2 linked regions of the Oryzias latipes genome follow. The protein of the gene in region 1 purifies or fractionates together with the protein of each later gene. This does not show direct contact. Links are inferred from orthologs where the notes say so. Each region holds a gene or a part of one and is shown on either strand. Other genes may lie near its edges. The genes, in order: pan2 and pan3.

Evidence for each region.
Region 2: the proteins of pan2 (region 1) and pan3 purify together in Homo sapiens (co-immunoprecipitation; 5 studies listed by BioGRID and IntAct, with this or other methods). This does not show direct contact. The link is inferred for Oryzias latipes from reciprocal best matches to the Homo sapiens genes PAN2 and PAN3.

What each region holds. Positions count from the first base shown.
Region 1 is NC_019865.2:22,098,524-22,102,789, forward strand, and holds the start of pan2 (PAN2-PAN3 deadenylation complex catalytic subunit PAN2), read right to left. Parts: upstream 3,100-4,266; 5' UTR 3,014-3,099; intron 2,606-3,013; 5' UTR 2,581-2,605; coding exon 2,296-2,580; intron 2,206-2,295; coding exon 2,036-2,205; intron 1,891-2,035; coding exon 1,770-1,890; intron 1-1,769. UniProt on the Homo sapiens protein: Catalytic subunit of the poly(A)-nuclease (PAN) deadenylation complex, one of two cytoplasmic mRNA deadenylases involved in general and miRNA-mediated mRNA turnover.
Region 2 is NC_019878.2:17,415,661-17,419,479, forward strand, and holds part of pan3 (PAN2-PAN3 deadenylation complex subunit PAN3), read right to left. Parts: coding exon 3,772-3,819; intron 1,400-3,771; coding exon 1,270-1,399; intron 1-1,269. UniProt on the Homo sapiens protein: Regulatory subunit of the poly(A)-nuclease (PAN) deadenylation complex, one of two cytoplasmic mRNA deadenylases involved in general and miRNA-mediated mRNA turnover.

The sequences.
Region 1 (4,266 bases):
TCCAGAATACAGACATCGTCCATCCACTCTTTCTGTTTAGGGTCACTGGGTTGCTGGAGCCTATCCCAGCTACTGTTGGCCAAAAGCGGGATATACCCTGGACAGTTCCCCATGCCATCGTCTCATATTCACACCAAGGCACAGTTTAGAGTCACCAATCAGTCTAAGAAGCATGTTTTTGGACCGTGGGTGGAAGCTGGCCCAGAGAAAACCCAAACACACACAAGGAGAACGCCGTGCAAACTGTGCAGACACCTTTGGGTAAAATAAAATCCCTTTTGAGTATCAACATATTAACATATCACTGTCCAGAGCATTAAGGTCTGCATTAACACATTGACAGGAGGGAAAGCAGCATTTACTTAAGGAAAAAAATAAAATTCATGAGAATCTATTAAAGGATTGAAAAGTTATTTTCCAAACAACTTTGATTGCTTTATTTTACACCTAGAAAGATATTAAGAAGTTTGTTCATCGTCCAGCAGATTTTTAAACCACAAGACAAATAAACAAAGACAGCTATGAAAAACAAATATTACAGTAATTTTACAGGGCTACTGATGAAAGCGTAATTTTTGCGGCTTTCTTTTGCATCTCGCCTGCAGCTGGTCCAGAACTCTGCTGCACGCCTTTGAACGAGAACCAGGAAGAGGGAACACATTACACCGATCTTAAAATCTCTGCACTGGCTCCCTGTCAGCTTCAGGATTGATTTTGAGATTCTTTTAATAGTTTACAAGAGTGTTCATTGTCTTGGTCCTTCTTTTATATAAGATTTGCTTTTAACTTATGAACCTCCCAGAGCCCTTAGATCCTCAGGCGGGCTGCTAAAGATCCTAAGGTCAGGAAAAAAACCACAGCGAGGCCTCATTTAGAAACTACGGGCCTCGTCTGTGGATCAGCCTACCTGAGGATGTGAGGGCCTCATCCACTGTCAAGGTTTAATTCAGCTTTTAATTAGTCAGAAGCGCGGGGGAGACCTTCTCCAGGGCAGAAGGCGGATCCTCCTTAGGGGTTCACTTCCCCGTTCGGACCCTCAGATTCTCCAGAGCGGGTTAAGAAAGAGTCAATAGCATTTATTCTGGGGGAAACCTTCTTTAATTCTCGTTCTCCTTCCTCCTTTAACATACAACATGAATGCGCGCCCCCACTGCCCCCCTCATTCTCTACCTCGCTGCACGCGCTCTGTCCTGTCTCTTACACACACACACACACACACACACACACACGTGTGCAGCCCCAAACACATACACATCCCCTTTACACAACAGAGGATACAGACGATCCCGGCTCCAATGCCTTCTTAAAATGAGAAGATTGTAATTGTGCTGGCTCCTTTGTGAAAATAAATGTAACAATGCAAAAAGAGCTCCGCTGTTGATAACACTGTTGTTGAAATTCCATTGTTAACGTTAGCTACTTCTGCAAACAACAAGTGACGTCGTTCACCATTGAGAACTCTTCTGCGCATGCGGGTCACTTCTGGGTCATTTCACGGTCACACAGGAGATCACAAAGGTTCACATTTAATTGGAAATGTGAACAGCCTTGTAAAAAAAAATCTGATTTTTTCAAAAAATCGGAATTGAGCATTAAGCCCTGGAGTGTGAACGTAGCCTAAGTTTCTTAATATATGTCATCCATCTGATAAATGTCACAAGAAATTGTAAAAACAAATGACAAAAACACAATTTTCATCGGATTTGGTCTTTTAAGCAGGTCCTGTTGCATATAGCACTTAGGAACTAAAAAGAAAGTCTGTTACTCACCTTTTGAGTTTCTTGAACCGTATTCAAGTCAACTTCAGCAACATAGTTTTGCAGCCCACCCATGAGGAGCGTGTTGTTGCCGGTCATGAGGAGACTATGCATGTCCGCTCCCTCCTCCATTCTGAACACAAATGTTGTCTGCTCACTTAAATATGTACATAAAAATATCTTCTAATACATTATGACGCCAGGCTGTTTCCAGACTTACGTGCATAATAAATATTTTAGTTACCATGTTAATGTTACACATCCACACATCCACTTACGGATAATCAAACATAAACAGGCCGCCACGCGTGTAGCATTTGAGGTTGGATTTGGAAAGGAAGAGCACTCCTGTTTCCAAACTCTGTATGTGCCGGATGTCATCTGCAGCGTGCACTTGGAAAGATGAATAACGTCCCATTGTAGGCCCAAAGAACGATGTTACATGACCCTAAGAATACCAGAAAACAGTGGTAAATCAGTTCAGTTTTAGAGCCGAGTTCCTATAGAAACAATGTACACAGTTTGCATATGCGCTCACTCTGTGGTTTCCCATCCAGAGCATTTCTTCCTGGTTATCAAAATGTGTTGCAGTGACTGGGATGCCCACTTCTGACACAACACTGTGGAGCTCAGAGAAAATTCCCTCCATCATGTGCACAGGCTCGGGAACCGTCATGGTGAGGCCCTCCGCTTCCAGCTCCACACCCTGGAGTAAACTGGGGTTTAGGTGAGGGTCCATGGAAGGCTCCAGTCCCGCGTCAAGAGTCCCGTGAAGGTTTGGTGGGAATTCCCCCATCCCTGCATCGAGACCTTCAAAGTTCATGCTGGGGAAAAGCTACAGCAGCAACCTGCAAATGAAGGTCAGATTTACACATTGATCACGTCGTGCGTCAAATAAAGGCGAAATTCCCCACCGGGCGCTGCCTCCGAGAAAGCTCAACCGAACCTAATTCACAAAGAAATCTTTAGCTAAAACAAAAAGAGCTCAAATAAATCGTACTATATATGCATTTATCAAAAAGAATTAGGCGTTCGCGCCTAAACTCTTAATGTCACATCAGAATAATCTAGCTAAGGCTAGCTGTGAGTAACGGTTGGTTCATTTCGCTAAAAGTTAGCATTGTTGGTAAAAATAAATAAATAAAAAAATGCTTCCACCGTCCGTGTTTACACTAAATTCACACAACGCTAAGCAGATTTTGTCATATCTTTAAAAATGGACTCATTAAAAATTCGTGTTTAAAGTATTTTCTAACCTTTTGTTGGAATGTTTTGGCGCATAGGTGTCCATGCTCACCATTCACAACAACAACGCACAAGTATTTCCGGAGCAAACGGCGGTGAGTTCAAGAACGGCTGGGTTTCATGAGCTTCTGTTCTGGGTAAATGGCCCCACAGTGACGTTTGTCTTCTGTTTCGGGGCACAGTGCTTTTTTTATTGTGTTAAACAGTAATAATACTATTCTTTTAAACGCATACCACTTTGTTTAGTGAATCTGGTTAAGTAAATGGAGTGATCGAGGAATGAGTGATCCTCAGCAACGCAGTGACATTAAAACCACCACCTTTTCAAATATTTTATTGGAAATCCATGTTATAGGGCGTGTTAACCTAACCCAAATTTAAAACCATCTTCTGCTTCAATATCCATTTGTATTTTCGTTTGAATTTACTTTTGTTTTTTATTTTTTATTAAGAAGTGGATTACTGCCTCGTCTGTTGATTATTTCTTTCTATGTTGGACCCCCCCCCCCCCCCCCCAAGTATTACACCAATGCAACTAAAACACATAAAGTGTCACGTTATTTTAAACAAGATTATTTTTACTCAGGTTATTGTTTTGCATGTTATTATCTTTCAATGGCATATTAACCATAAAGGTGTTGCATCTTCTATAAAAGTAGAGTAATAGTTACTGAATCTTCATAACTGAAGAACAGTGTAGAATCAGAAAAACAAAAACAACACTAAAGAAGTTTGCACTTAAACTGTTGAGTCTTTTTTACTTTGACTTATGTGCAAAAACAGTGTAATTATTGGTTAATTTCCACTTAAGTTCTAAAGGAATTCTTTCAAGGCTTCTTTCAGGTTTACAATAAAGTCCTTGATTGCAAAACATTCCTGATTCTACTTAAACGAGTAGGAGGAACAGTTACTTCTTCCGACTCATTGATAAAATACTAAACACAATTTATGAAAGACAAAGGAAGTATAATATTCCACTATTTGTATTGCTTCCTGTCTTTTTCACAGAGACATTTCATGGGAAAGATTTTGGTCATTTTCTCTGGTAGACAGGAGGGACAGGAGGATTCCCATGGCAAGTTTTTTTTCCAATTAATCAACTTGGCAAAACGTAAATGTTAATCTCACTTCCTGGGCACTGCCATTGTCATGAAGTGAAACTGAGCTAGTTCACACTTACCTGCACACCTGGACAATAATGAGAGGAAACTCCCACAATTCCCACCAATACTAAGATCATTTCAAACCAACAAAAGTGATGATA
Region 2 (3,819 bases), on another chromosome or scaffold:
TGGCATTTTACCACAATGAAGCGTCAGAATTTTTTTTTTTGATCGACAAGTTTATATATTTAAAGACTCCATTTTTACACCCCAACCACATCATTAATCACCCAACTTGAGTTAACTTTTTTTTTTTGAACACATTTATAAAGCACTAGATCCGTGTATGCTTCAGAAGGGAATTTCTACCAAACTACTGCTGCTCTGCAAAAACTATGTCTTAAAAAATGAATTTTTTTAAATTTTGGCTAAAAACAACATATTCAGAACTAAAAGAGCACTTTTACAATAGATCGAAAGATGATCAAAATGGGACTTTAACTGTGGACTAAGAAAATGACTCCAAATTGCAACATGTCACCCTGTTTCAACATTAGAAACATGCATGGAACATGTGCTGTATCTCCCATTAAAACATGTTTATGGAGACTGAAGCATATGCATGGAATACGTCTAAAACTCACGCTTTTATAATTGTCCCAACTGATTATGTCATTATAAAAGCAAAATATAATAAAAAATGACTTCTTAATCACTTTCAGGAGTTTGTTTTTTTTACATAAACACTTTATCGAGTACAACTGACCAATTCTGTCAATTACTTTCACAATTCCTCAAGTTTAGCTTTTTATCATTTGCCTGATTTAAAGCAACACAAAAGTAAAAGGTGAGGTCACCAATTATTCAGTTATTCTGCTTTAATGAATAAGGTCACAACATTACAACTATTTCTCAGTTCATACAAGCCATTTCCAGCACTTCTGCTTTTGACTAAACACAGATTCTCTCAAGGTTGGTAATGTTTAGAAGTCACTTCTTTACAAAACCTTACCAGCAGCCTCTATTTAATCAGTATGAACAAGCAATAGATTTAGACTTAACAAAATTAATAAAATATTCCCCCAAAGACCTCAGTTATCCTCATTCAAATTGTGAAAATGTGATCCTTTAGATTTTATTTGTTCAACATCTTTTGAGGTTTAGCAAACTTCCACGCACAACCTTTAATAAAAGCTGATGATTTTAATTTATGAGCCCTACAAAATAAGATTCTTAAATGTTAAAGAATTATTTTTTATCCTTTTAGAGAGACTTCTGGAGGGAGAATTTAGAAAGAATAATAATTGTTTGACACTGTTGCGTCTTAATTTAAGGGACTAAATTCAAGAAGAGTGCTGTACAACATCCTGTATGTAAACTGCTCGCCTACCAACTTTCTCAAGAAGTTAAACTAGCAACCTAGCAACAGAATCCGGCACACAAAAACAAATTTCTTACTTTGGCCAAGTCCTCCTCGATTACATCATTCCTCATCTGTGAAGCATCCAGCTGGGTGTAAAAGCGAGCTCCAATCATGGGCATGATGTCATTGACACTTCGCAGGCGGGACTGCTCAGACAGAAGGTACCTGCAGAAACACACAAAAGACCAGAAGTCGAACATTGGATGACAGCAAAACAAAAGTCTCTCATCTCTCCCAGAAGCAGCTTTCAGCCTCTTCCATGTGAAAAAGTTTCAGCCTTTACAGTTAAACCTAAATCTGATATAACTTCAGAAGTGATGCTGAAACTTGGAAAATCTTTTTTTATGTGAACCATACATTAAAGCAGCATGATTTAGGATTTCAACTTGATATAAATTAAGAAAGATTTTAAGCAGTAAAAATGAATCAACGTGAATTTAAACTTTAGCAAAGTAAAAAAAGAAAAAATAAGTAAGAAGAAGCGTGAACTGAGAAGCAAAAGGTCAAATTATTACTTTTCAGAGCTTAGAAAAAGAAGTTGTAAATTAAAATGATTAAATAAAATGATTTTTTTGTTGTTTTTAATGGATGCTATGTCATAAAAAGTATATTATGTGAATGACGGATCATATTTACATTAAAAAAGTAGAGTATTTTTGCTTAAAAGATTACAGACTACGTTTAAAAGATCTAAATTGGTTCATTAGATTACAGAGCTAATTTCCTCTGCACTTAAACCTATATGTCTCATCCTATCAACAAACATGGAAGTTGAGAACAGCACTGATAAAGTTTGGCTGAAAAGCTTTAACAAAACGCAGAGACAACAGGCCCTAAACTGAATACTGAATCAATCAAACTCGTCTTTTCAGACCGGTGTTTTACTCGCCAGCTGGGAGTTGCCCCTTCAAACGTGGAGTGCGGCGTTATACCAACCTGGTCAAAATTCAACACATGACTCGTGAGGAGATTGTCCCTGAAAGAGGATCAGACTTGGGTCAGGACTCGGTGCCAGCCAACTGAAAAACTGTCTATCTGTTCAAGTGTCTCCTTTCTGTTCAATTTGGGCTTCAGATCTTCCCATCAACAGAAAGACACAACACTAACCAGACCCTCAGTATCTTAAAAATAAAAAATAAAAAATTAAGGAGTCTGTGTCTTTCATTTATTCACTTTTCTAATCAAACTTTGCCCTCGAGTCTATAGGTTCTCCAATGAATATTTTAGGAAAGCTTTTGGGTCTTGTTGCAGGCATTTCCATACTTTTTGTTCCTATAGTTAACATTTAATAAAAACCAAAAGACTTGGGCTCAAACTGCATCCAGCCGAGCTCCGGTGCGGCCGCTGGAATCTTTACGTAACTTGAAAAGTGCGAGAGGCAGATACACAGCATTCGGTTTGGTCCAGCGCGTGCCGGAGCACTTTTTCGTGAAGTTGAGGCAAATAAAACGGCCTAAACCTGAAATCATGCGTGGGAGTGTAAAGTGCATCTGGTCAATTTTTCAAAATAAAACTAATTGTTTCCACTGCACTCACTATGTTTTCACCGTGGTGTAAACATTACGTCATTTCCACTGACAAGGAGTCACAAAGTGTGCGGTAGAGTGTCATGTTGGTCATTTAACACAATGGACAAAGAGAGGCTGCGGTGTGAGCCCAGGGTTAGAACCTCACTATACAACAACTATATTAGTATTGCTAAAGAGCTGCACAACCACATTTTTTCCACTCCAGCTGTCAAAAAATTAAATCAACCTACATTTGGCTGAAACATATTTGGAACCTTTAACCATTTTAGAGAAATTCTCCTTAACCTTCTATTGAGATGAGACGGAGCATGAAGCCAAAATCCAGTAACAAGCAGTTACTTTTTACTGATCAAACTAGTGTGAATTTTAAAAACCATAGGAAACAAGTTGATTTCCTAAAATAAAAAATCCAAAAATAACTATAAACTTTCACGGTTGAGTCGGTGAATTTAAAGCTACCATCCATGTTTTTATTTTAGTTTTTTGGTTCAAACTGCCCTATATGAGACACCGATTCTGTTGAAACCGTAGCAAAATGTTGCAGAAGGTGTTAACTAAAACTGAGAGATGAATACACTAACCTTTTGTTTTGCCCTATTTCAGCACTAAGTTTTTTTTAGATTATGTTTTGAAGTCTTATTGCTCTTTGTGGTTAAGCCCATCAGTAACCACCAAACCAATTTCAGCCAGACACTTTTCACATTTTTAAGCCATTAAACCAATGATTTTTTGAAATTGATGAGCTTCTTAGGGAAGTTTTATTTTTTGTTTGATAATTCAAAATCAAATTAGGGTTTAACAAACAAATTTTTTTTTGATCTGCTTAAACCTCAAAATATTCTTTATTTTTCCAGCAAGTTTTTTGGGAAACCATTTAATTTTAAACTTTTTTGGTTTTATTCTTTTTGGGGGATAAATGAACTATTTGATTTATAAAGCACAGCTACAGGAGATTCCAAAAATATCTCTCACTACCAGCTGACCACATGTGCACCCTGCCACCCTTACAGGATGAGATTCTTGAGATCTGAGGAGTAGTTTAAAGACACCAGCTCC